Callithrix jacchus: one gene and its partners. The protein of the gene in region 4 purifies or fractionates together with the protein of the main gene of each other region. This does not show direct contact. Links are inferred from orthologs where the notes say so. Each region holds a gene or a part of one and is shown on either strand. Other genes may lie near its edges. The genes, in order: EEF2, CNP, melanoma-associated antigen D1, OTUD5, CTPS2, SERBP1 and KHDRBS1.

Region 1 (3,280 bases), on a different chromosome or scaffold from region 4:
CTCAATCCCACTCTCAGCTTTAAAGCTGAGCTGGGCTCTGCACAGGCTCCTAGACTTGATTTTGGCCTTGGTCTTCATTAGGGTCTTCTGCAGACGAGTGGGACTGTTTTGTTTTGAGATGGTGTCTCGTTCCAGTCCTGGATGGTGGAGCGCAGTGGCGCCATCGCTGCTCAATGCAGTTGCCATCTCCTGACTTCAAGCGATTCTCCCGCCTCACTTTCCCAAGTAGCTGAGATTACAGGTGCCTGCCACCACGCTCAGCTGATTTTTGTATGCTTATTGGAGGCTGGATTTCACCATGTTAGCCAGGCTAGTCTAGAACGCCTGACTTCGTGATCCACCTGCCTTGGTCCTCCCCAAGCTGCTAGGACTATAGGCATGAGCCACCGTGCCCAGCCAGCGGAGCCGACTGAGTTCCTCACAGACCGCTCATCCCACTGGCTTCTGTCCACAAACATAAATGCTCAGTGCGGTCGGGCCAGGCCTGCTCCAGACCTGGTTTCTCGCCCATGGATGCTTAGAATTGGGCAAGCCCATGGTTGTCTGTGCCGGAGAGCTCAGTGGAGCCCTGCTCCTTGTCCCAGGTGGCGGTGAGATACGTTTGCCGGTGCATCACTTGACACCTTGATTCTGACTGGTGTGACTCTGCCAGGCTGTATTAAGTCTGCCTTGCTGAGAAAATCTTTTTAAGGATGCCTCTGCGTGTTAAGTTCCTGCTTTCTCCAGGCAGGTGTGTGACCTTTTTCTTCTTTCTGCAGAAATCTGACCCTGTCGTCTCTTACCGTGAGACGGTCAGTGAAGAGTCCAACGTGCTCTGTCTCTCCAAGTCCCCCAACAAGCACAACCGGCTGTACATGAAGGCACGGCCCTTCCCCGATGGCCTGGCTGAGGACATTGACAAGGGTGAGGTGTCTGCCCGCCAGGAGCTCAAGCAGCGGGCGCGCTACCTGGCTGAGAAGTACGAGTGGGATGTGGCTGAGGCCCGAAAGATCTGGTGCTTTGGGCCCGACGGCACCGGCCCCAACATCCTCACCGACATCACCAAGGGCGTGCAGTACCTCAACGAGATCAAGGACAGCGTGGTGGCCGGCTTCCAGTGGGCCACCAAGGAGGTGAGGCACAGCCACCATAGGCAGGCCACACCCATGCTTCCAGCGTCTTGAAGGGACCTTAGGGTCCTGCCTTCTGGGACAAGGGACCCTGGGGCTGAGGTGGGCAAGACCAGTTCCCTTAGTGGAGACCTGCAGGGCTTGGCATGGGGAGGGAGGGCAACAGCCAGGGTGCATTCAGCCCTAGACGGCGGCTCTCCCCTTGCCCAGGGTGCACTTTGTGAGGAGAACATGCGGGGCGTGCGCTTCGACGTCCATGACGTGACCCTGCATGCCGACGCCATCCACCGCGGGGGTGGTCAGATCATCCCCACGGCGCGGCGCTGCCTCTACGCCAGTGTGCTGACCGCCCAGCCGCGCCTCATGGAGCCCATCTACTTGGTGGAGATCCAGGTGAGGCCCCCCACCCGCCTCTCCCCTGCCCCTGTCCTGCCTGACGGCCATTGACAGTATCTCTTCCACTCCGGCAGTGCCCAGAGCAGGTGGTCGGTGGCATCTATGGGGTGTTGAACAGGAAGCGGGGCCATGTGTTTGAGGAGTCTCAGGTGGCCGGTACCCCCATGTTTGTCGTCAAGGCATACCTGCCCGTCAATGAGTCCTTCGGTGAGTTCCGGCCTGGCGTGGCCCACAGAGCCCAGCAAGCAAGGGAGGTGGGACAGAGGCCCAGTTAAGCTGAGCAGGGGGTTAAAGGAGGTGGCCGATGGGGCATGTGACCCCAAAATCACTCAATTCACCAGGGAGGGCACTCTCATCTTCAGGGTGAGAAGGACTCGGCCAGTAGAGCAGCTGAGCTGTTGGCACAGAGTCGTCCAGAATGATCAGGGGCATGAGTCCCAGGAGGGGCCTTTGAGCAGGCCCTTGGTGAAGTGCTGGGCACCAGGCTGAGTCTCTGGTCTGCAGGGTGACTGGCTGAGGAAGCATCTTCTCCCGCCTGCCACCTTCCTGGCGGCCCAGTGAGCCTCTTGCTTCCCTCTGCAGGCTTCACCGCCGACCTGAGGTCTAACACGGGCGGTCAGGCCTTCCCCCAGTGCGTGTTCGACCACTGGCAGATCCTGCCTGGAGACCCCTTCGACAACACCAGCCGCCCCAGCCAGGTGGTGGCAGAGACCCGAAAGCGCAAGGGCCTGAAGGAAGGCATCCCGGCCCTGGACAACTTCCTGGACAAATTGTAGGCGGCAACTCCTGCAGCATCTGCCACCCCGGGGACTCACAGCACCCACAGCACCACGTCCTCACGTTCTCAGACAACACCTGGAGACTGTGTCCCGACACAGCGACGCTCCCCTGAGGTTTCTGGGGCCCGCTGCGCGCCATCACTCAACCTCGACACTTGATGCTGTTTCTTTCGATATTTATTTCCAGAGTCCAGAGGCAGCAGACATGCCCTCTTTGCAGGGACTTACTGGGCCTGTGGGGGAGGGGGAGGTGGGATGGGACACCCAACACTTTCCATTTCTTCAGAGGGAAACTCAGATGTCCAAACAAATTTAACAAACGCATTAAGAGGTTTATTTGGGTAATTGGCCCGTTGTGGCTTTTGCCCCAGAAAGGGGAAAGGGACAAGCAGATAGATGATTTCTGGCAGGCAGGAAGTTCTGTGTGGCGTCACCATGCACACCTCCAGCTTGTACCAGTGCCATTGGAATAATAAATCTGCTATGGTGGTGACTCCATGCTGGGTCTTTATTACACTGTCTGAGCAGGGGAGCAGGGGTGCCCTGCACAGCGTTCACCAGAACCTGGAAGGGGACCCGGGCTTTAGTTAGGTGCAGCCTGGGGCTGCCTCTGTTAGAACGTTCTGGAATGGTGAGAATGTCCTACCCCTGTGTCGTTCAGAGAAGCAGCTGCCCGCCTCGTGGGTCTACTGCACACTTGAAGGAGGTCGGATCAGCGTGGTAAAGAACTAGATTACAAGAGGTCACTGTGTTTCCGTGGGCCGTGCAGCTCCCGGAAGGATCTGGAGGCTTCAGCGACCCTCCGACTTGCTCGTGAGCTCACAAGCTCTCTGCCATCAAAGTTTCTGTGGTCCTGACGAGCTTGCTAGAAACCCACCTGCTTGCTTTTAAACTTTCTTTTGAGACAGAGTCTTGCTTTGTCATCTAGGCTGGTGTACGCAGCCTCCACCACCTGGGTTCAAGCATCCCACCTCAGTCAGCCATCCGAGTAGCTGG
Region 2 (3,164 bases), on a different chromosome or scaffold from region 4:
GCCCAGCTGCCCCCAATTTTAGATGATCTTCATACCTGAAATAGCCCCACTCTGGTTTGTTGACATTGTGTATATTGCACAGAAGCAGGGAATTTGTGCCTGTGTGGGTTCTCAGATAACTTTTTTCTCAGTTCCTAAACTTGAGCTGTAGTATTTGCAGTGATATCATCCAGGAGCAAGCCCTGTACCTGTGAGCTGGTGGCTCTGTCCTAGAATGACTGCTGCTCAAAGTTGCTTTTACTTTTATTTTTTAACTGATTTTGAGACACAGTCTCATTCTGTTGTCCAGGCTGGAGTGCAGTGGTGCAATCTCAGCTCACTGCAACCTCCATCTCCTGGGTTCAAGTGATTCTCCTGCCTCAGCCACCCAAGTAGCTGGGATTACAGGTACCCACCATCACACCCAGCTAATTTATGTGTTTTTAGTAGAGACAGTTTCACCATGTTAGCCAGGCTAGTCTCAAATGCCTGACCTCAAATGATCCACCCTGCCTTGGCCTCCCAAAGTGCTTGGATTACAGGTGTGAGCCACCTCGCCGGGCTTGAGAATTTTAACTTCTTACAGCTCTAAAGTTGCTATTAGTGTGACCAGCTAATGAATGAATGAGCTATGTGGGTTGCTGGAAAGTTGATGCCCAGCCTATTTTTTCTTTCTTTTTTTTTTTTTATTTTGAGACAGTCTTGTTCTGTTGCCCAGGCTGGAGTACAGTGGTGTGATTTCAGTTCACTGCAATCTCTCTGCCTCAGCCTCCTGAGTAGCTGGGACTATAGGTACCTGCCACCACACCTGGCTAATTTTTTGTATTTTTAGTAGAGACAGGGTTTCACTTTGTTAGCCAGAAAGGTCTCCATGTCCTGACTTATGATCCGCCCGCCTTGGCCTCCCACAGTACTGGGATTACAGGTGTGAACCACCATGTCTGGCCTACTTTATCTTTAAATGAAAAACTGGAATTCTTTTCTGCCCAGGGTTACAGCATGAGAAATGTAATGGGCCAGCAAGGCTGCTCTCAGGAGCGGCCTTCCTCTCCTGTGGAGGGTGAGACATCTTCACAGGGGCTCAACTTAGAATATAACAGAAAAACTCTGAAGACAACCACAGGTGTGGCTTCTGGAAATCAAAATCACAGATACTCCATGCCTCTTTGTGTCTTCCAGCCCCATAATGTCACCCAATTATAGCCCAAGACCCTTCTTGTACCAGGAGGCCCCCTACAGGCTCTCATCCCCCAAACAGGCCTGCAAGGTGTGTATTCAACTGTTGGTGACCCTGTGACTGCTTGTCCATTTGGATCTCTGAATGAAATGGGGCACTAATGATAGTTCCCTGGCAGTCCTGGGAACACTGGGGTGTGCGGTCGCCCTAAACTGTTATGCTGGATTGATAGGGTCGGTCAGTTGCCCCAGGCTGATGGCTGGTAAGCAGCAGGGCTAAGATGTTCACTGTGTTCTGGCTGTTTCCACAGTACCATGTTGTTCCCAGCACTCTGTTCTTTCCACCCCACTTCCCATGACTTGTTTCCCCTTTGAGATGTGGGACTGGTAAATCTCAGATTCTCTTGGCCTGTACTGCCTGCCTCTGTTACAAATGCCTTAGAGTTTGGGGAAGAGGTAGAAAGATCTATACAATAGAAAGCCGGAGAATTTTAACTTTTTTTTTTTTTTTTTTGACACATTCTCACTTTGTTGCCCAGGCTGGAGTGCAGTGGCGCAATCTTGGCTCACTGCCACCTCTGCCTCCTGGGTACAAGCAATTCTCTGTCTCAGCCTCCTGATTAGCTGGGGTTACAGGCACCCACCACCATGCCTGGCTAATTTTTTTGTATTTTTAGTAGAGAGGGGGGTTTCACTATCGGCCAGGCTGGTCTTGAACTCCTGATCTCATGATCCACCTACCTTGGCCTCCCAAAGTACTGGGATTACGGGCGTGAGCCACCATGCCTGGCCTGAGAATTTTTAACTTTTTTTTTTTTTGAGATGGAGTCTCGCTCTGTTGCCTGGGCTGAAGTGTGGTGTCAGGATTTCAGCTCACCATAACCTCCAACGCCCAGGTTCAAGCAATTCTTCTGCCTCAGCCTCCCTGGTAGCTGGGATTACAGGCGCCTGCTGTCATGCCCAGCTAACTTTTTTTGTATTTTTAGTAGAAGGGGGGTTTCACCATCTTGGCCAGGCTGGTCTTGAACTCCTGACCTCGTGATTCACCCGCCTTGACCTCCCAAAGTGCTGGAATTATAGGCGAAAGTCACCACGCCCGGCCTGAGAATTTTAACTTCTTACAGCTCTAAAGTTGCCTTTAGTTTGAACAACTGACGAATGAATGAGCTCTGTGGGTTGCCGGAAGTGTTTTGCTCTGGGCCTCTGTGGTCCTGGTGGCAGGCGTTGGTATGCCTCTACTCCCCTGCCCTGACTGCACCGTTTTTCTCCCGGCAGTTTTCTCTGGGGATGAGACCAGGGAGAAGATTGATCTGGTCACCTACTTTGGGAAGAGACCCCCAGGTGTGCTGCACTGCACAACCAAGTTTTGTGACTACGGGAAGGCCCCCGGGGCAGAGGAGTACGCTCAACAAGATGTGAGTCTTCCCCAGGGTCAACATGGCAGAGGTGGGGGGTGGGGGCAGCAGCATCTTCTGCAGATGGGTACAAGTGACAGGCAGGGACCAAAAACCAGATGTCAGCTCAAGAAAAATGGCATCTCCTCCTAGCTCCCCTGTCCCCAGGCATATTTGCATAGACCTCAGCTTCAGGTTCTAAGGAGCCTGCTGCAGCAGTACCAGCAGCCTGTGCATTCGCCTGCCCCCAGGCGCCTTCTCCTTCTGCAGATTCATGGAGAATGCTGGTCCACAGTGGGCTCCTGCTCTGGCCCTGTTACCTTCCAAAGGCTAGGAGTCCCTTGCCCCTAGTCCTGAGGCCTGGCCTTAGAGTGAGGGAGTGTCATAGGAGAGTGAAGCTTATTGGCTAATAGGGTACTAGGCATTTCTGCACCACACAGCCGGCACCTTACGCCCACAGCCACAGGTGATGGTGATGCTTGAATGCCAGGCATGTCTCAGATCTGCAGTCTCCAACCTCCTCCAAGTGTCCAACCCCAAGCCCACCCTCCCACTTCTCTGCGTAGGTTATTACAGTTGTTTAACTGGAGCATCCTCCCAAATGGAAGCTCCCCT
Region 3 (4,263 bases), about 2.6 Mb from region 4:
GAGCAAAACTCTGTCTCAAAAAAGAAAATTTTAGCTGGGTGTGGTGGGTGTGGTGGCATGTACCTGTAGTCCCAGCTACTCAGGAGGCTGAGGCACAAGGATCACTTGAGCCCAGGAGATCGAGGCTGCAGTGAGCTTTGATCATATGTCTGTACTCCAACCTAGGCAACAGAGCTAAACCCGGTCTCAATTAAAAAAAAAAAAAAAAAAAAAAAGAAAAGACAATCATGGAAATTTGAATATAGACTGAGTATTAGATGATATAAAAAATTATTATTGACTAGGTGCAGTGGCTCACACCAGTAAATCCCAGCACTTTGGGAGGCCAAGGTGGGTGGATCACCTGTGGTCCAGAGTTCGAGACCAACCTGACCAACATGGTGAATGAAACCCCATCTTTACTAAAACTACAAAAATTAGCCAAGCATGATGGCAGGCTCCTGTAATCCCAGATACTTGGGAGGTTGAGGCAGGAGAATCACTTGCCAGGAGGCAGAGGTTGCAGGGAGCCAAGATCACACCATTGCACTCCAGCCTGTGTAACAGAGCAAGACTCATCACAAAACAACAGAAAAAAAAAAAAGAAGAAATTATTTATCTTACTAAGTAAAATAATGATGTGGTGGTTACTTAATGCACCTATAAATTAGAGATACATAGTGAGTTATTTACCTGTGTGATGACATATCTGGGATGTGGGGAAAAAAACAGGTGAGGAGATGCACAGTGGGCTGAAACGAATGTGATAATATTTAAATGATACGTAATAATGATTTGAATAAACAGACATCAGCAATACTCTTTGGAAATGTTCCTAAGGGTTTTGGTGTCACAAAAGCTCTGCCTCATTGTGTATTCTTTTTTTTTTTTTTTTTTCTGAGATGGAGTTTCGCTCTTGTTGCCCAGGCTGGAGTGCAATGGCGCAATCTCGGTTCACTGCAACCTCCGCCCCTGGGTTCAAGCGATTCTCTTGCTTCAGCCTCCCGAGTAGCTGGGACTACAGGCATGCTAATTTTGTATTTTTAGTAGAGACAGGTTTCTCCATGTTGGTCAGACTGGTCTGGAACTCCCGACCTCAGGTGATCTGCCCGCCTTGGCCTCCCAAAGTGCTGAGATTACACACGTGAGCCACCGCGCCCAGCCTGTTTATTCTTTTTTTTTTTTTTTTTTTTTTTGAGACGAAGTTTCGCTCTTTTTACCCAGGCTGGAGTGCAATGGCGCGATCTCGGCTCACCGCAATCTCCGCCTCCTGGGTTCAGGCAATTCTCCTGCCTCAGCCTCCCGAGCAGCTGGGATTACAGGCATGCACCACCGTGCCCAGCTAATTTTTTGTAATTTTAGTAGAGACGGGGTTTCACCATGTTGACCAAGATGGTCTCGATCTCTTGACCTCGTGATCCACCCGCCTCGGCCTCCCAAAGTGCTGGGATTACAGGCTTGAGCCACCGCGCCTGGCCTGTTTATTCTTAAATAAAAACTATCCATGGCCTAGAAAAGAGGATCACCCCTTATTTTGGCAAGCATAACACACAGGAGGGAGTAAACTGCTTGTTCAAAGAAAACTTTGGTTAAATTCCTCTTTAGATTCTGATAGAGCCTGAAAAACTCTGATTCTCACCATAAATTTAATGATCATTTGAGTAAAGGCAATAATAAACTGTGATTATTATTTAATAACTGATGTTCTCACAAGATAAATTTGACATGGTAACAAATGTAACAGAAAAGTAATTTCATATTGCAACAAATAGATTATGTAATACTTGCAAAGCTCTGAGAAAAAGTCTTTGTCTCAAAAAATGTCAGCTTGGTGCTTAATGCTGCTATCAGAGACCAGAAAATAATTTGCATAATAAACTCAACTCATATAAAGTAATAAATTTGTGGCTGGATACCACGCCTGTCAACCATTTCTCCACTAACTTTTACAGGGGATGGGAAAGTTTACGCTCTCTGAAGCTCTGACACCTGGTTATAGGTATAATCCACTACGTTTGCCGCCCCCCCCAAAAAAATTTGGGGATTCAATCCTATGGCAACATAAAAAACAGATGCAACGAGAAGACAGAAATCTGTGCAATAGTATCTAAATGATGTGTAATTTTGTTTAGAGTTAAAAAAATAAAAGAACATAATTCGAACAAGTGCCTATGTCTCTTAGGGCTCTAAGGTTTCTGCTTCTTTCCTTCTACTTTAAAAGAACCAAAAAAGAAAAAAAAAAAAAAAAAAAAAGCCTTGACCTTGAAGTCACACCTACTTTTGCAAAGTACGTAATTCACTGGTCTCTGGAGGAGGGGAACGGGAAAGACCAAAGGCCAGCAGCGGGAGTAAAACAGGGTTTAGGAAGGGGCTTGCAAAGAGTCGCAGGCTAAAAGGATGCGGGGCAGAAGGCGGAGGTAAGAGGTAGGAGATAGGAGTGACCTGTGGTAGAGGGAATGTGATTGAGGGAATGACCCTGCCTCCAGACCGGAGAAGAGGATCTGGGATAAAGAAGAGAGGTGAAGCATGACCGAGAGTCAGGTAGATAAAAAGGACCACAAGAATCGGGAAGGGGAGTCGGATGGGACCTCCCATCTCCGGAGGAGAAGGGAGGAGACAGTGAAGCTATCAGAATCACATGCGTCAGAAGCATCCTTCCTACAACGTACGCGGGGATGAATTCTCCTTTCCACCCCATGTTGAGGCACAAAAGGAGGTCTCCCTGGAGTGTATCGGTATTTATATGTGAGAATTACCAAGACCCCTTCTTTACACTCACCTTGACGGAGAAGGCAGCGACGATGGCGTGACCGGAAGTGCTGTCCTCTTTTGTTTGGCGGAAGCTTTAGCTTCTGCAGCAGCCACCCCCTCCTTCACTTCAGGCGACTTCCTGTGCCTCTCTAGCAAGCTCTGCAATGCTCTATCTCATTGACTCCCTCACTAGATCAACACCTACATTGTGCTGTAAACGGGCTGAGAGAATCACGAACTTTTTACAAATCCTAGTTCTAGTCACGCCAGGAGCTGCAGTATCTCTGCCAAATCCATCAGGTGCAATTTGCCACCTCTCATTGATTCGCCTTAGAAATATCTCCCTTCATCTTAGTCCCTTAACTTAGGCCTCATTTTTCTCTGTCTTGGATGTCTACAGTGACATATTTACCAAACTGATTTACTGTTTCTGGCACACCACTTTGAAAAAATTCCATTTGTATTAGCGGTATGTGTCAACCTTTTCAAAACATCTTAAGTCTAAACAACTTTTGCTTTGAAATCGTATCCAGAGTTACATACCATACTCAAATGTCCAAAGAATAAAGCTGGACTCCTGTAGAAAGCATTCTTGCATTATTTTACATACTCCCCAAGAAAAGGAAGAAAATGAAAACTGAAAAAAATGTTTCAATAATTTTTTAAAAACTCTACTCTGGTTAAATACCTTCAGAACAAGTTTAACATTGAATTATTTATTGACACTACCTCCAGAAAGTTCTCCTGGCCCCCAAATCTAGACCACAGTTCTCACCAAAGGGGAGGATCTCTTTTTGTGGTTATTTTTAGTCAATCCACAAGTATATACTGAGCACCTACTATGTCCCAAATACTATGCTACACCCAGAGACACTACACTAGAAGCCCACAGCCTAGAGCTAAAATGACATTTAAACACTTAAGAGCCTAGCATAAAATATGTGTTTATCAATATTTGTTAAATTAATAAATGACCAAAATGTGGTCAGAGCAAAGAAGGAAACTAGCAATAAGGTCCTTAGTTTTGTTGGCATTTTTACAATTTATTTCAACAATTTGAATCACATTTCCCACTAAACAGTGCTTTAGCTGAATCCCATCAATCTTCATATTTTGTATTTTGATATTTTTATATATTGATTTTATCTTTGTAGTTCCTTTTTTTTTTTCTTTAGTAAGACAGGGTTTCACTCTGTTGTCCAGGCTGGAGTGCATTGGCATGATAATAATTCACTGTAACCTCAAATTCCTAAGCTCAAGTGCTCCTCCTGCCTCAGCCTTCTGAGTAGCTAGACTACAGAAGCATACCACTATGCCTAGCTAATCCTTTTTATTTTTTGTAGAGATGGGGTCTTGCTTCCTTACCTAGGCTGCTCTTGAACTCCTGGGATTACAGACATGAGCCATTGTGTCCAGCCTGTACTTCCTCTTTGACCCATGGGTTCTTTAGAAATGCATGTTTAATTTCCTGTTATTTTTCCACTGTTGGATTTTTATGATCAGCAAACTTACAGTATATTATTTCAGTTCTTA
Region 4 (4,025 bases):
CACAGAGAGAAGATGGGATATTGTATCCCCAAGGTATGTTTCAGTCCCTTATAACTGAGGTAAAAGGGTCACATATCCTTGTGGAGTGGGGAGTCTGAGACCCCCAAAACCACTCAGATACCAGTCTCAAGAAGGGTCTCCTAAAGACTTCACCTCTGCAGCGGGGCACCAGGCCCCTGAAGAGGCCTCAGACTCAGTCCCTAAAAACCTCAGTCCAGGGCCAGATGCAGTGGCTCACGCCTGTAATCCCAGCACTTTGGGAGGCTGAGGCGGGTGGATCACCTGAGGTCAGGAATTCGTGACCAGCCTGACCAATATGGTGAAACCCTGTCTCAAAAAAAAAAAAAAAAAAAACACCTCAGTCTGTAAGAAGGTAGATCTTAGGCCCTAGGATCCAACCCTCTGAGTCTCATTCTCCTGAAGAAGCTTCAGGCCCTTGGTGGGAGGTGGGGGCTTTGAGGGCCCATCTCTTCTTACAGGGAGCTTAATATTCTGAAGAGAGGTTCTGGCCCTTGTCTCCAAAGAGGTAGGTTGCAGGCCACTGATAGAAAATGAAGACCTTTGTCACTCAGAAAGAGGATGAGTCTCATGTACTCAAGTAAAGCTGCCGGTCCTTGGGTGTTGGTTTTGGCCCCTGACCCCAAGGGCAAGGGAATCATCTTCCTGCAAAAAGTTTTATATCTCTGGAAAAAGCTTAGAAGACCCCTCTCCTTAAAGAGGGCGTTATGTGTTTATCAGGACCTTGATTCTAGAAGAGGAATTCTCAGGCCCCTGAAGACAGAGTTAGGACCCTTGAGGTCTCAGGTCTGGCTATTCAGTGGTCCTGTGTTCTATTACCCAGCAAAGCGGAGACGGTTGTCCTATATGCAGAGTGTCTCAGACTCTTGAAGGGGCTTAGGTTCCTTGGGGATGTTCATACCCCATCTCTGGGGTCTCTACTTTATTTGATTTCCCTAGAGGGCTAATCTCAAACTTCTATCCCAGAGAAAAAGAGCTCTTAAGCCACTGAACACAGACCTAGGTCTCTTGGGAAACCTGAGACTCCTGTTCAAGAGGGGCTCGATCCTACCTGTGTCTCTTGGAGAATTCCCACCTATTGGCCCTACAAGATGAGGTCCCAGGAACTGGAATGACGACTACAGACCCTAAAAGAGGCCTCGGATCTCTACGAGGTCCTCTTTGGAAGTCTGCCACTTCACCGTAGGCCTCTAGCCCCAAATCCCTAGACGGGGGGAAAGAAGGTGTCTCACACCTCTACCACGAGAGAAGACTGTCAGGCCCAGTGAAAAGGCCTAGATCCCTTGGGGAGATCTCAAACAGCCTTCGGGTACCTTCACAGTGTGGGGGTCCCATCTACCGTAGCCGCCCACCCATCACCCCACAGCTCTTACCTGCTCGACAGTGGCAGGATCCATAGCCTCGATGCGTGCTGCAGCAGCCTCATACTCGTCCTCACTGTTGTAGCCTGCGCCGACCTCCTCACGCTCGGGACTACCCCCGCCAACTGCGCCAACCCCGGGAGCTTGACGTCGCCGCTTGCTGTGGCCAGGCCCAGAGCAGCAGCCGCCCACGCCTACGGCACCACCCACACCCACCACCACGCCCGCGGCACCCACACCCGCCGCCGCTGCGCCCAGCGCGTCACCGGGCCCGCCGCCGGGCCCACCTGGGCCCCCGCAAGGAGGTGGAGAAGCCTGTTGTGGCCGAGGGCCCGCCACTGCACCAGGCGGCACGGCCAGTGCCCAGCGGTGAAGAGCGCCCGGTGGTCCTGGTAGCGGGCCTTGAGGCGGTGGCGAAGCTCGAGGACGGGCCCCCACCACGCCGGAGTCACGGTCGCGATCGCCGCCGCCCACGCCCGTGCCGCCGCCGCCCACGCCCACACCCCCGCCGCGCCGCGGCGCCGGGGGCAGCGGCCCGGGCGGCGGCGGCTCGTTGGCAGGGTCGGCGTCGGGAGGCGGCGGCTTCTTTTTGGGGAGTATAGTCATGGCTTCACCGCCGAGTGCCCCCCAGCAAACCCGGCGCAGAGCACGCCGGGAGAGAACCCGGATGAGGGGGCTAGTGTAGTGCGCGAAGCACGACGGGAACGGCGAGACCCGGATAAAGAGATCGCGGCACCGGTCCGAGAACCCGCGGCGGCGGCGGCGGCGGCGGTGGCAGTGGCGGCGGCGACAGTGGCGGCGACGGCGCGCGGGTCACGCCGGGAGAACCCGGATGTGAAGTCCAAGATGAAGGCAGTGCGGCGAATTTGTCGTAGCCTTCTCTCCAAGTCCAGCAAGTTTATTGCTACGCTCGTTCTGGCCTTCTGCTTCAAAGGAGACAGAACCAAAACAAGCACCTCTTCACTCCGCCCCCTCGCAGGTTCTTGCACTACCGGGTGGGGCCCCGGGGCGCTGCGCACGCGTGCCAGGGCACAGCCCCGCCCCTCGCTCGAAGTACGTGGGCAAAATCGTCGCCGCTGCCACAACAATTGCTAACACCAACCAATTGAGCAGCTGCGTGGGTCCCCGACGACGCCCACGGGCCAATCAGAGGCGAGTGCTTGCCCTCCGGTGCCCTCCGTCTCAAATTTCAGTCAAAGTCGACACCCTCGTTCCCAGCCTTTCTTGCTGTCGGTCCCGTCTTGCTCTTTACTTTTCTCCCCGAAGCTCTCACTTGCAGGCGTCGTAACTGTGGACGGACAGCGTGGCCTGTTTCACCTACGAAAGGAAAAACGCCTCCCCTCCAGGCTTCCAACTTGAACGCTGTCAGCCGGACTGACAGGAAAACATCAACAGTCCAGAGCACAGCATTCCTCTCGAGCGTCACTTCCGATATTACCCCCCTGCAAATACCCTTCCGGGGGAGGTGGACACCGCTTCACCCCAGCAACAGCTTAAGTTCTGCGGTGATTGGTTAAGAGACGCCGTCACTCCCGTCATACCGACCAACCTTGGGACCGACAGGCACCGTGGGGACAGTGGTTGTTTGGGAAACAGACACGCCTTCTCTGGCGACACAGCACTCTCGCCCTCGCGGTGACCTCCCCGCCCCTATGGCTAGTGCGCAGGAGCGGCCCAGCCTTTTTATTTTTAATTGTTTCCTAATTGAGACGAGGGTCTCACTCTGTCGCCCAGGCTGGAATGCAGTGGCGCGATCATAGCTCACTGTAGACTCCAACTCCCAGGTTCAAGCGATTCTCCCGCCTCAGCCTCCCGAATAGCTGGGACCACAGGTGCACACCACCACGCCCGGCTAATTTATTTTTTCACTTTTTTTGTAGGGACAAAGTCTCGCTACGTTGCCAGGCTGATCTACAGCTCCTGGGCTCAAAGGATCCTCCCGCCTCAGCTTCCCAGAGTGCTGGGATTACAGGCATGAGTCACCGTGCCTGGCCAAGCCTAGCCTTTTTCTAAAACTAAGTTTGCCTGGGTCGATCGAGGTTTATGAACCACCTCTGTCACCAGTCAGCGTCTCGCAATGGGGTTGGCAAAAATCCCTGCTATTGAGTGGCTGGAGAGCTACACACTAATCCTAGCTCTGCCCTTCTTGTCTGAGTGATCTTTGGCAAGTCATTTAGCATCCACTCCGTCCTCAATTGTTGTTGTTTACTTTTTTTTTTTTTTGAGTCGGAGTCTTTCTCTGTCGCCAGGCTGGAGTGCAGTGGTGCGATCTCCGCTCACTGCAACCTCCGCCTCCCGGGTTCAAGGGATCCCCCTGCCTCAGCCTCCCGAGTAGCTTAGACTACAGGTGCACACCACCACACCTGACTAATTTTTTGTATTTTAGTAGAGACGGAGTTTCACCATGTTGGCCAGAATGGTCTCGATCTCCTGACCTCCTGATCCGCCTGCCTTGGCCTCCCAAAGTGCTGGGATTACAGGCGTGAGCCACCGCACCGGCCTGTTGTTTACTTTTTTAATGGAACGCTTCACAAATTCGCGTGTCATCCTTTCAAATGGTGCCATGCTAATCTTCTCTATCGTTCTAATTTTAGTATATGTGCTGGGAAGCGAGCACCCATCCTCAATTTCCACTCTATAATAAAT
Region 5 (4,218 bases), about 33 Mb from region 4:
CTCCTCCACCTCTTGCCATCCTTTTGGAACCCTGGATGTCCAACGCACCATTCTTGTGGGCACTAGACCCGAGGCCAGTGATGGCCATCTCACTTTTCTATTCCAGTGTAGCTGCTGCACCCCAAACTGTCTCGTTTCCTGGAATACCAATTTGAAGGCCTGGACTCCAGCACGACACTCTCCACTGGCAGTTTGCCAGTCCTCTCCTCAGAGGCCCTGGCCTTGGAGCCCTTCTCTCATCTGTTTGCCAGTCCATCAGCTTCCTGCTGGTTTTATTAATAGTTCGTGTCCTCTAGGACTAGAGCTCTGGTCCATCAGTGCAATCCCAGTCTTTCTGTGCCCTCTGCCTCCTCACTCTATTGTCCTACTCTATGCAAGCAGCAAACTTGCGTTTCATCACTAAGAGCTGTATTTCTGCAGATACCTTGCCAGATTATAGCTGGACATCACTACATGATGATGGTTTCTAAACTCCACTAGGTCTTCAGTGACTCTTGTCTAACTTGTTCCTCTAGCATCTCACATCGGTTATGCAAAATTTCCTCCACTTTCCTAAAACCTTCTATTTCACTTCAGATCCTTCTATTGTTCATGTTAGCTTCCTTCAGTGGTTTGCTTCTTGCCTTCAACTGAAAAACCACCTGTATCCATTTCCAGCACCAGTCATCCTCCAATACTCTTTTTTTGTTTGTTTTTGAGACAGAGTCTCTAGTGTCACCCAGGCTGGAGTGCAATGGTGTGATCTCAGCTCACTGCAACCTCTGCCTCCTGGGTTCAAGCAATTCTCCCTGCCTCAGCCTCCGGAGTAGCTGGGATTACAGGCAGGCGCCACCATACCCAGCTAATTTTGCATTTTTAGTAGAGACAGGGGTTTCACCACGTTGGCCAGGCTGGTCTTGAACTCTCGACCTCAGGTGATCCACCCACCTCGGCCTCCCAAAGTGCTGGGATTATAGGCGTGAGCCACCGCACACCCGGCCCAAATACTCTTAAAGGTCACTCTTCTCCATCTCAAAAAAAAAAAAAAAGTCACTCTTCAAAGCCTTAATTGCCTTCCTCCCCTCCCCGCACCCCCGCAGCTCTTTGCTGCACGAGTATAGTTCTAGGGAGACTTACTGCTTCCAACAGACAGGTGGACCAGACTGTGAGCTAGCTCTCAAAGGCAGGTATTCTATTTTCTTTTCCTTCTCTCCTGAATTCTCTTGCAGTTCCTGGAGTGTAGTAGGGGATTCACAAACGTTTGTGACTAGTAAAGTCCTTTGCAAATGTGAGATCTGGACAGGAGGACACGAGCGAGGGTCTCGGCCTGCCAGGGGGCGGGGGCTCTGCGGGAGGCGTGGAGTTCATTCGCGCACTCGAAGTGCCTTTGCAAAGTGAGCCAGCGGAGGGAGGAGCGGTACCCGGGCGGGGCGAGGCTTGGGGCCCAGTGCGTCCAGAGAGGAGGGAGACGGGAGCTGCCTGTGCTGGAGGAATCACTTTTTAGGCGCTTGTTTTGGACCACTGCACAAACCCGGGTGCAAACCCCAAGCTCAGCAGCGTGAGTCAGCTGGGCCAGCAGCTGGGCGGAGAGGGGAAGGTGGGCGAGGAGGGCGCTGCGCACCCCGAGGCCCGTGTGGGCGGCGGGAAGATCGCGGGGGCGGCTTTGGACAGCCCAGGCAGCGTCCCCTTCTACAATCCGACAGGTGAGCGCCAGGCCAGCAACCGGTTGGAGCCTACCGTCCCCGTCGGCCACCCTCCCCGGCGCTACCATCACTGCGCAGGTAACTTCCCTCCTGGGCCTGTTCCAGACCCCCAGGGCCTCGGCGCCCGCCCGGGCCGCCCCGCATCCCCAAGGCCTCTCCGCCCCGCACCCCCAGCCCCGGGGTATTTGTAGGGCCGGACTCCTTTGTCCCCTCTCTGATGGCGCCCGCTCACTCCCCAGCGCTGAGTCCAGAGTCCGGCCGCCAGCTCCCCGCGTCCAGCATCCCGCGCTCGCCGACCGCGGCTGCCGGGTGTGACGCAGGGGCTGGGGGACTCTGACCTGGGCCCAGTGCGGTCGGAGCCTGTCCCGCTAGTCCCCGGGACGGGTTTTTCCCCTACCCCGCCCGCCCCCGCGCCTGTACCGGGATCCCCACTTCTCCCGGCCTTCGGGAGCCTGAGAGCCAGAGATGGCGTTGTTGGAAATAAAGCCCCAAGCGGGGGTCGGCGAGGCTGGTGATCAGCGTCGGTAACAGGGCCTTTCTGTCCTCTCCCCGGTCCCAGTGCACCGGTTAATCAACGACCCTCGCTTTTTCCCCGTACTGGAGGGTTAGGGAGCAATAGTGCCGAACTACGCTGCTGCTACAAAATACCTTTTGAGGGGGGCAACATAAAAAAGGATTGTATGTATAGTTTATATACGATAAAATGCCCCGTTTTTAGTGTGCAAATCGATGGGATTTGACAAATTATACCCTCCTGTAACCATTATCCCAACGTGAACATTGACCATTTCTTTTACCCTGCAAAGCTCTTTGGTCCCTCCCTCCAGTTAGCCCTTGCAGCCCCAGGCCCCGCACTCAACCCCCGTTCTGATTGTTATCAAGCTTAGTTTTGCCTGTTCTAGAACGTCATAGAACAAGATCATCTGGTAAGTACTCTTTTGTGTCTAATATTATTTTAAAATGGCCATCACTGGGAAGCTGTCTCTGGGTGCTTCCGCTGCTTTTATTTGCTCTTGGCTGGCCTGGTCTAAGGTGGGAGCCACTGGCCACATGTTGTTATTGAATACTGGAAATGTGGCAAAATCCGAACTGAGATGTGCTCTAGATATAGGCATCTGATTTCTGAAAGCTTAGTACACAAAAAGATGTAAAATATCTTACTAATACATTCTTACATTATGTGTTAAAAATGAATATTTTTTGGCTACATGGGGTTAAATAACATTAACATGAACTTCATTTGATTCTTTTTTTTTTTCTGTTGAGACGAGTCTCCCTCTGTCACCCAGGCTGGAGTGCAGTGGCTATCTCGGCTCTCTGAAATGTCTGTCTCCCGGATTCAAGCGATTCTCTTGCCTCAGCCTTCCCAGTAGCTGGGACTATAGGCGTGCACCACTGTGCTCTGCCAATTTTGTATTTTTAGTAGAGATGGGGTTTCTCCATGTTGGTCAGGCTGGTCTCAAGCTCCCGACCTCAGTTGATCCCACCCACCTCGGCCTCCCAAAGTGTTGGGATTACAGGCATGAGCCATCGTGCCCGGCCTTCATTTGATTCTTTTTACTTTTTAAAATATGGCTACTAGAAACTTAAAATTACATACCTGACTGTGTAATATTTTTTATTAGATAGTGGAGACAGCATAACTCGACACTGTGCTATCCTACAAACACTTGGTTCTGTTCACTGCATGGAAGAGTGAATGAAAAACTTGCCATGACACCAGAAACCATCCCAAATGGAGGAAGTGATCTAAAACAGGGCCAGTCTTTCCCTGCACCTTTGAAACGTTGTTAAACTTATTTGTTTGCTTAAAAGAAGTAGAAATAATTAAGTGTCTCCTTGGTATTAAGTTGCATTTTAAAAAAAGGTTTCTAAAAAATCCAATATGCTTTAAAAAGCTGTATGGTGTTTTTGAAAATACAGAGAATGAGTAATTGCTTATGTAGGAGAGGAAAGAGCGAATGTTTCTTTACTCATCCTAAGGGTCATGGCTGACAGCCTTAAACAAGAGATAAATTAACAAGAGAGAAATGTAACAATTTATTGAGTCATAGGTTTATGTGGCATAGGAGCCTTTAGAAATGAAAACCCCTGGCTGGGTACGGTGGCTCACGCCTGTAATCCCAGCACTTTTGGAGGCCTAGGTGGGCAGATCTTGAGGTCAGGAGATCGAAACCATCCTGGCTAACATGGTGAAACCCCGTCTCCACTAAAAAAAAAAAAAAAAAAAAAATATATATATATATATATATATGAAGCTGAGGCAGGAGAATCGCTTGAATACAGGAGGTGGAGGTTGTAATGAACTGAGATTGTGACACTGCACTCCAGCCTGGGCAACAGAGTGAGATTCTGTCTGGAAAAAAGAAAAAAAGAAATGAAAACCCCTTAAAGATGCAGATATAGGTGAAGGGGAGGAAGGCAGCAAATCACACTGCCACGTGTGTACCTATGCAACTATCTTGCATGTTCTTCACATGTACCCCAAAACCTAAAATGCAACAACAAAAAAAAAGATGCAAGGGAAATGATCTGA
Region 6 (3,500 bases), on a different chromosome or scaffold from region 4:
GCAGCTTAAAGTCTTGTAAAACCAATTCCTCGGCTGCTTTATGATTTTGTTAGAAATTGGGAATTACAGCATACTGGCAATCTTACAGTCATTAATTTAACCATCACTCTATTGATCCTTAAGGCCACCAATAATTTAATAACATTGGTTGCCATTGTGGGGTTTCAGATATTATAGGAAAAAAGCAGTTAAGGGGGGGAAATTAATAAATGCTTCAGCTATCACTGAGTGTCACAAGTTTCTTATTTTCTACATATTGCTTAAAAGGGGTCTTATGTGTGTGTATTTGGTTTTTAAAGATTCTTTGAAAATAAAGATAGTTGTTAGGGCACATTTTTAAGAGGACTCTCCATCCATAGTAAGTAAATGTTTCCTAACTTGGAAGTACTTAGGGATGTGATACTGTGTACAAACATATATACACTTTATATGCTGTGCATTTTTAAACTATTTAATAGGGGAAGATGGCCCTTATTGTGTGCCTATAGTTAACAGTACTGTAAAAGATGACACCTTTTCTGGTTAAATGGCTGTTTTAAACTGAGGTGATGTTCTCTAATAATGCTAAATGCCATATTTTCCTTTCAGATTTGTAATTTTATAGAATTATTAGTCTTAATTGCATTTTTGTTCAGATTAGGTAGGATAACATTGGGGCCTTCACTTTTGTGAGGGGCCATATCTAGTGAGAGTGTATGATTTGCTTTGTTATTTATGAATGGCTGCTCGTATTTTCTTTGGCATTTTAAAAGCCAAAGTGTATTGCTTGCCTAAGATTTTTTTTAATTTAAAACTTAATTAAGAGACTGCTGATATCTTGGAAAGTGATGGGAAAAATGGCTGCCCAAATGACTTTCAAGTCAGTTATAGAAAATTCTTTTGGGGAGAGAATAACTTGGCAAACTGAATAGAAGTTTAAAACAAGTTTATTGTCTTAATTTTATTTATGTATTTAGTCAGTGGTATGGATTGCAAGGTTCATTGTCTTTTAAGTGGCAGTTTGGCTAAGGTACTTCGTTGACATTAGAGATGCCCAGTGTTAGCTTTTTTCCGACAGGAAGTGATAGTGGATTGGTAGAGAAGTGGATTTTGATAGTCCAGGCCTAAACTTTTTGTATTGCAAAAATAATTTGCTTATGCAGGTTATCTATCGTTTTAGGAATAAGACGAGTTGGAAGAAGACCTGATCAACAACTTCAGGGTGAAGGGAAAATAATTGATAGAAGACCAGAAAGGCGACCACCTCGTGAACGAAGATTTGAAAAGCCACTTGAAGAAAAGGGTGAAGGGGGTGAATTTTCAGTTGATAGGTAAGTTGTGTTTTTTTTTTTTGTTTTTGAGCCAGGGTCTTGGTCTGTCGCCTAGGCTGGAGTGCAGTGGTACAAGCTCAACTCACTACAGCCTCTGCTTCCTGGGCCCAAGCTATCTTACCATGTCAGCCTTCTCCTGAGTAACTCAGACTACAGGGTAACGCTGCCACAAAGCTTAATTTTTTTTTTTGAGATGGAGTTTCGCTCTTGCTACCCAGGCTGGAGTGCAATGGCGCTATCTCGGCTCACCGCAACATCCGCCTCCTGGGTTCAGGCAATTCTCCTGCCTCAGCCTCCTGAGTAGCTGGGATTACAGGCACGCGCCACCATGCCCAGCTAATTTTTTGTATTTTTAGTAGAGACGGGGTTTCACCATGTTGACCAGGATGGTTTCAATCTCTTGACCTTGGGATCCACCCGCCTCGGCCTCCCAAAGTGCTGGGATTACAGTCTTGAGCCACCGCGCCCAGCCCACAAAGCTTAATTTTAAAAAATTTTTTGTAGAGCTGAGATGTCATTTTATTGCATGGGTTGGTCTTGAGTTCCTGTGCTCAAGCTATCTTCCTGCAGCATTGGGGCATGAGCCAAAAAAGTCCTCATATTTTGTTAGTCTATGGAGTCACATATTAATGTTAAGCTATAAATTGGGCATAATTGCCAGGTGGCAGTCTGTCTAGTTGTGTCTACTAGTTTTTCACAGAAACAGCTGAATGTGTGCATTGTCAAACTTAGGTCTCTGGTAATGGAAACACTTTAGTTGAATTGATAATCATAAACTATTGGTTTATGAGCCAGTAAATATGTTGTGTATTTTTGATCTTTTGAATGGATTTCCCTCATTTCTTCTGGAAACTATGGAAGTATAATTTATTTATTTATATTATAGACCGATTATTGACCGACCTATTCGAGGTCGTGGTGGTCTTGGAAGAGGTCGAGGGGGCCGTGGACGTGGAATGGGCCGAGGAGATGGATTTGATTCTCGTGGCAAACGTGAATTTGATAGGCATAGTGGAAGTGATAGATCGTAAGTCTTACTGGTTTTTATTTTATTTCAATATTTTAATCTATTTATTTAATAAACAAACTTTGAATTTCTAGAACAAAAGAGTATTATGTTAACTCAGTTTTGTTAGTTCTTTTTCACATTACAGTGGCCTGAAGCACGAGGACAAACGTGGAGGTAGCGGATCTCACAACTGGGGAACTGTCAAAGACGAATTAACGTTGGTATTCTGATTTTTTAAAACAAAGCTAACTTTAATAAAATTCTGTACCTAACTAAAGGTTAATCCATACCTGTGTTAAATTTTACTTATCTCTGAGATAAGAATGAATCCTCTCTTCTGAGAGCTATTATATTACAGGATAATGTCTTATGGGATGGGTTTGGGTTCTAGTGCATTGAATGGCCAGTTTTTCTATACTTTAATATATTCGTTACTCATTTTTTCAATGTGTATTTGTAGCTTTTCTTGAAACCCCACAATAAGGTTATTTGGGTATTCTGATTTTTCTAGTGTCGTTAATAGTTCTTATTTTAGCTTTCGACTTTGTTATCATTACATAATTTGATAAGCTACTAAAGCTTTGTTTTAGAAATAACTGCCTTGTTCTGTTACCTTTTATTTTTCCCCAACTAGAATAACCAGTTTATGTTCTGTTACTTTTTAAGTATGAAGTATATGAATTAACTTAACCAATAGTTTATATTGTTTCCCCTTGGAGGTCTACTGGGGAGTATATTTAGTAGGAAAGGAGTTAGAGAAAGTGAGGGCTTATGGTATTTTTGTATGAAGAACTCTTCCACTACATGTAAATGGACCTAGATGCCTTTCTTTTTCTTTTCTTTCCTTAGAGAGTCTCCCAAATACATTCAGAAACAAATATCTTATAATTACAGTGACTTGGAGCAATCAAATGTGACTGAGGAAACACCTGAAGGTGAAGAACATCATCCAGTGGCAGACACTGAAAATAAGTAAGTGGTTTTGCGTGTAATAGTAATGACCCAGAATTGAAAGCACTTATCCAGTAAGATAACCCATAGATTTAATGTTGTTGTTGATGGCTTTTTGTTTTTGGGAAGAGAGGTTGTACTCTCATCCCTAAAAGAGTATTTAAAAGAATGTTTTTTGGGGGGGGGGCAGGGAATAGAGACAAGGTCTCACTGTATTACCCAGGTCTCCA
Region 7 (4,087 bases), on a different chromosome or scaffold from region 4:
CCTAAGACTTTTGGAAAAGTGTGGGCTCATTAGGAGAAATGATCCAAAAGGAAAAGGGATGGGAGTCTCGAGTGCTTTAAATGGGAGAAGAAAAAAAATCTGTGGAGGGAAGGAAAAATTAAGGCACTAGGCTTTTGATGGTTTATGGGACAAGTAGGAACCTAAGGCTCCACTTGCATATAGCACTCTAGGATGTGGAGAACGCCGTTGAAGATTGTCCACTATGTATGTACCTTGGCCTTGAGAGTAGTGGCAAGGGTCTCTCTAAGCCAGTCTGGAATGGTAGAAGGAGCCATCCTAATGATGCAACCAACGTCGATTAAGGATCTGGTCTCTATCCCACTTTTTGACGGAAAAAACACTTAACTGGCAAGAATGACGGCTAAACAAAACGTTAAGTCACAGAAAGCAGTAAAATATGTAAAAAGAGCTAAAATGCTGCTTCTTTTAAGATTTCCCTGACCAGCAATGGCAACCGTTTTAGAACCGACTGCAATATATGTAATACTGGAAATATATATAACACTAGCAATGACTTCTCGTGTTCCCTGCTGTCTGGGGCCCTTTTCTTTGCTAGACTTCAGGTCTCTGATCCGAACCCTCCCTCTTAGGTCAAGTCCTCCAATTGCTTTTAGTGTTTCCACCAAGCCGTCCTTCTTCAATTTCTCCCTCCAGGTTTCCCTTCCCCATCTCCCCTGCTATTGCTGCGTCAGACTCTCCCTTAGTCTTTCTTTCTCCTTGTGCAGTCTCTGTCTCTCCCCCACCTCTCTTCCTCCCTAGGCAGCCTCAGTTCTCTCTCCCTTCCCTTTCTGGGTCTCCCACCGCAGTCTCCTTTTAGTTTCTCACTTCAGTGACCGCCCCCAAGCTACTCGCCTTACCACCCCACCCCATTGCGCACTAAAATGTCCGTGCCTTTCGGCCGTTGGAGGGCGTGGCCCGGCGAGTAACAGGTCTCCCGCCCCACACTCGGCGGGCCCGCGCGTAGACAAAGACATTCCACAGCCCCCGCCCCCTCCGCCCACTGAACCAGAAGGGGAAGGACCCACGTGTCCCGCTAGCGCCGAGTCACGTGGAAAAGGAAACGAACTGAGCCGGCAGCCTCCCGCGCATGCGCGCCAAATTCTGGCCTGGCGGGCGCGGAGGGAAAGCAGGAGTCGGGAGGCCACTTCTTCGTACGCCGCGGTGGTGCGCAGGCGCCGTGGCTGGACTGGGGACTTTGTTCTCCGCGGAGAAACCCAAGGGCGGTGCCGGTGACTGGCTGCGCACGCGCGCCGCCTCATTTCCGGTGCTCTCTCTCGCTGGGTCGCTAGGGTCGGCTTCGGTCGCTACCGCTCCCGCTCTCCCACCCCCGCCAACCGCCGCCCGGGCCTCCGCCGCTACCGCGTCGCTTTCTCACTCCTTCGATCGCACATCCTCCCCGATGCAGCGCCGGGACGACCCCGCCGCACGCATGAGCCGGTCCTCGGGCCGCAGCGGCTCCATGGACCCTTCAGGTGCCCACCCCTCGGTGCGTCAGACGCCGTCTCGGCAGCCGCCGCTGCCTCACCGGTCCCGGGGAGGCGGAGGGGGATCCCGCGGAGGTGCCCGCGCCTCGCCCGCCACGCAGCCGCCACCGCTGCTGCCGCCTTCGGCCACGGGTCCCGACGCGACAGTGGGCGGGCCAGCTCCGACCCCGCTGCTGCCCCCCTCAGCCACAGCCTCGGTCAAGATGGAGCCGGAGAACAAGTACCTGCCCGAACTCATGGCGGAGAAGGACTCACTCGACCCGTCCTTCACTCACGCCATGCAGCTGCTGACGGCAGGTAAGGGGGCCTCCCGGGTCCCTCTGGGTCGCCCGGCCATCCCAAGGCATGAGTGGCCCTGGCTTTGTTCCTCTCGCCTTCCGCCCCCTCGGGACCGAGGAAGTCGGGAGCTCCGGTCTCATCTTCGTTTTTGGGACCCTGGAGTCCACATTCCCACCTCAGTCTGGAGTGCGAGGGAGAATTTCTAGGCTGCAGTGCAGGCCCGAAGGCGACTTTGCGATCTCCTAGCGCTAACATCTTGATGGATAGTGCTGAGCTCCCCGCCCCTTTCCCGACTCTTCACTCCTCCCTCCTCCTGCGGCTGCCCCGCGCTCCGAGCGCGCAGATTCTTCCAGAAATGAACCTGTATTTCCCCCTTTCCCCGAGGGGGAAGCCTTTTTGATCGCGAGTGGCAATGAGCCCCTCGACCGAGGTGTGGGAGGTGAAGACAGCCAGAACGGGGGAGGGGCCGTGGGAGGAAAGGCCGAGGTGAGGTGGGGTGAGGCTGGAATGCCCTGTCCAGCGCGTCGCTGTCTCTGGGGCCGAGCCGGACTTAGCGGTAACCGCAGCTTAAGTTGCTGGGAGGAAGGAGCGATTTATGGGGATCGGAGCTTGAGGTTTTCGAATCAGATTTCCTACTAAGGCTGATAAAATAAGAATTGCTATACTGAGCTTGAAGGTTGTCTTTAATTTTACACCGTGGGTTCACCATTGAAGAAGGAGTGAAATAACCCTAGAGACGTTGAAATGGGACGATAGGGACTGCCGCGTAGTTCTCATGACGTTTCCCAACGAGATGGACAGAAATTGAGAGAAGTTGCATGATGCTTGTACTGAAAGTCTTGGTCTTTTTGTTGCTTTGTTTTACATATTTTATTCAGTAGTGAAAAAGAAATGAGTCTTTGTTCTGTAGATTAGCGCTCTTTTTCTGATCAGCATTGGCCAATCACCTAGTCGCCCTGATTTTTCCCTAAAGCTGTCTGACCTCCACTTCTAGTTAAAACATTATTTTAATAAATATTTCTTATGATACTTAAATTTTAGTATGCAAGTAAAAATTCCCATCATTCAACACTGAATGAGTGGTTGGACTCTATGGCAAGGTTAATATAATGAACAGTTCGTTATGAAAATATTACCTCCCTCCCTTTGTTCTGTCTCCCAACACTGTAAGTTAAGGGCTCTTTACCAATGTGGTGTTCATCTTTTATGCTTTTTTAAGATAACTGTCAAAAACTATTGACCCTTAAAAGTTCCCTGTAATTTTCAGTCTCCCCTCACTGCTTAACTAAGAGAGCGCTCTTTATTTTTAACTTCTGTTTTCTGGATGAATTTTTTTTTTTTTTCTTTAAACCAAACTGAAATTGGTAAGTGTGTTTGAGGTAATGTTGGTTCACTGAAAGAATGAAATCGGGATGTATGGATTCTTTGTGGCATTGATAAGTGTTAATGTATATTGAGCCTGGCTTTTTATTTTTTCTGAGACAGAGTCTCACTGTCACCCAGGCTGGAATGTAGTGGCGCTATCTTACCTCACTGCAGCCTCCACCTTTCGGGTTCAAGCGATTCTTCTGCCTCAGCCTCCTGAGTAGCTGGGATTACAGGCGAGTGCCACCATGCCTGACTGATTTTTGTATTTTTAGTAGAGATGGGGTTTCACCTCTTGCTCACTCTGGTTTCGAACTCCTGACCTCAGATGATCCGCCCACTTTGGCCTCCCAAAGTTCTGGGATTACAGGCGTAAGACACCACGCCCTGCCAGAGCCTGGCTTTTAAGGTACTTCTGAATTATCTTGCAAAGGAATTGCAGCGAAGTCACAACCCACTGTGAAGAAGTGAGACTTTGAGAAGATAGAATAGTAATATTTAAGTTCTAGTAAGAACAAATGGAAGGGCCAGGCGCCGGTAGCTCACTTGGGGAGGCTGAGGAGGGTGGATCACTTGAGGTCAGAAGTTTGAGACCAACCTGACCACCATGGTGAAACCCCATCTCTATTAAAAATTAAAAATACAAAATGAGCCGGGCATGGTGACACACACCTGTAATCCCAGCTACTTGGGAGGCTGAGGCAAGAGAATCACTTGAACCCGGGAAATGGAGGTTGCAGTGAGCCCACGTCTGACCATTGCACACCACCTGGGCAACAAAAGTGAAACCCTATCTCAAAAAAATAAAATAAAATAAAATAAAAACATGGAAGAAAAATATAGCTATATTTAATGTTTGGTGTCTGAGCACTTTACATTAAATTTTTTTTTTGAGACAGAGTTTTGCTCTTGTTACCCAGGCTGGAGTGCAATGGCAC

The links.
Region 1: the proteins of OTUD5 (region 4) and EEF2 purify together in Homo sapiens (affinity purification with mass spectrometry, with the first as the bait; 3 studies listed by BioGRID). This does not show direct contact. The link is inferred for Callithrix jacchus from reciprocal best matches to the Homo sapiens genes OTUD5 and EEF2.
Region 2: the proteins of OTUD5 (region 4) and CNP purify together in Homo sapiens (affinity purification with mass spectrometry; 3 studies listed by BioGRID, with this or other methods). This does not show direct contact. The link is inferred for Callithrix jacchus from reciprocal best matches to the Homo sapiens genes OTUD5 and CNP.
Region 3: the proteins of OTUD5 (region 4) and melanoma-associated antigen D1 purify together in Homo sapiens (affinity purification with mass spectrometry, with the first as the bait; 3 studies listed by BioGRID). This does not show direct contact. The link is inferred for Callithrix jacchus from reciprocal best matches to the Homo sapiens genes OTUD5 and MAGED1.
Region 5: the proteins of OTUD5 (region 4) and CTPS2 purify together in Homo sapiens (affinity purification with mass spectrometry; 3 studies listed by BioGRID and IntAct, with this or other methods). This does not show direct contact. The link is inferred for Callithrix jacchus from reciprocal best matches to the Homo sapiens genes OTUD5 and CTPS2.
Region 6: the proteins of OTUD5 (region 4) and SERBP1 purify together in Homo sapiens (affinity purification with mass spectrometry, with the first as the bait; 3 studies listed by BioGRID). This does not show direct contact. The link is inferred for Callithrix jacchus from reciprocal best matches to the Homo sapiens genes OTUD5 and SERBP1.
Region 7: the proteins of OTUD5 (region 4) and KHDRBS1 purify together in Homo sapiens (affinity purification with mass spectrometry, with the first as the bait; 3 studies listed by BioGRID). This does not show direct contact. The link is inferred for Callithrix jacchus from reciprocal best matches to the Homo sapiens genes OTUD5 and KHDRBS1.

The regions. Positions count from the first base shown.
Region 1 is NC_133523.1:3,731,580-3,734,859, reverse strand, and holds the end of EEF2 (elongation factor 2), read left to right. Parts: intron 1-758; coding exon 759-1,112; intron 1,113-1,319; coding exon 1,320-1,502; intron 1,503-1,579; coding exon 1,580-1,712; intron 1,713-2,087; coding exon 2,088-2,281; 3' UTR 2,282-2,780; downstream 2,781-3,280. UniProt on the Homo sapiens protein: Catalyzes the GTP-dependent ribosomal translocation step during translation elongation.
Region 2 is NC_133506.1:91,255,877-91,259,040, reverse strand, and holds part of CNP (2',3'-cyclic-nucleotide 3'-phosphodiesterase), read left to right. Parts: intron 1-2,430; coding exon 2,431-2,570; intron 2,571-3,164. UniProt on the Homo sapiens protein: Catalyzes the formation of 2'-nucleotide products from 2',3'-cyclic substrates. May participate in RNA metabolism in the myelinating cell, CNP is the third most abundant protein in central nervous system myelin.
Region 3 is NC_133524.1:52,079,036-52,083,298, reverse strand, and holds the start of melanoma-associated antigen D1, read right to left. Parts: upstream 2,801-4,263; 5' UTR 2,759-2,800; intron 1-2,758. UniProt on the Homo sapiens protein: Involved in the apoptotic response after nerve growth factor (NGF) binding in neuronal cells. Inhibits cell cycle progression, and facilitates NGFR-mediated apoptosis. May act as a regulator of the function of DLX family members.
Region 4 is NC_133524.1:49,516,467-49,520,491, forward strand, and holds the start of OTUD5 (OTU domain-containing protein 5), read right to left. Parts: upstream 2,801-4,025; 5' UTR 1,986-2,800; coding exon 1,392-1,985; intron 1-1,391. UniProt on the Homo sapiens protein: Deubiquitinating enzyme that functions as a negative regulator of the innate immune system. Has peptidase activity towards 'Lys-48'- and 'Lys-63'-linked polyubiquitin chains. Can also cleave 'Lys-11'-linked ubiquitin chains (in vitro).
Region 5 is NC_133524.1:16,988,841-16,993,058, reverse strand, and holds the start of CTPS2 (CTP synthase 2), read left to right. Parts: upstream 1-1,418; 5' UTR 1,419-1,682; exon of another isoform or gene 1,683-1,760; intron 1,761-2,001; exon of another isoform or gene 2,002-2,608; intron 2,609-4,218. UniProt on the Homo sapiens protein: Catalyzes the ATP-dependent amination of UTP to CTP with either L-glutamine or ammonia as the source of nitrogen. Constitutes the rate-limiting enzyme in the synthesis of cytosine nucleotides.
Region 6 is NC_133508.1:104,660,193-104,663,692, reverse strand, and holds part of SERBP1 (SERPINE1 mRNA-binding protein 1), read left to right. Parts: intron 1-1,159; coding exon 1,160-1,310; intron 1,311-2,196; coding exon 2,197-2,337; intron 2,338-2,446; coding exon 2,447-2,536; intron 2,537-3,168; coding exon 3,169-3,291; intron 3,292-3,500. UniProt on the Homo sapiens protein: Ribosome-binding protein that promotes ribosome hibernation, a process during which ribosomes are stabilized in an inactive state and preserved from proteasomal degradation.
Region 7 is NC_133508.1:68,627,093-68,631,179, forward strand, and holds the start of KHDRBS1 (KH domain-containing, RNA-binding, signal transduction-associated protein 1), read left to right. Parts: upstream 1-1,287; 5' UTR 1,288-1,420; coding exon 1,421-1,802; intron 1,803-4,087. UniProt on the Homo sapiens protein: Recruited and tyrosine phosphorylated by several receptor systems, for example the T-cell, leptin and insulin receptors. Once phosphorylated, functions as an adapter protein in signal transduction cascades by binding to SH2 and SH3 domain-containing proteins.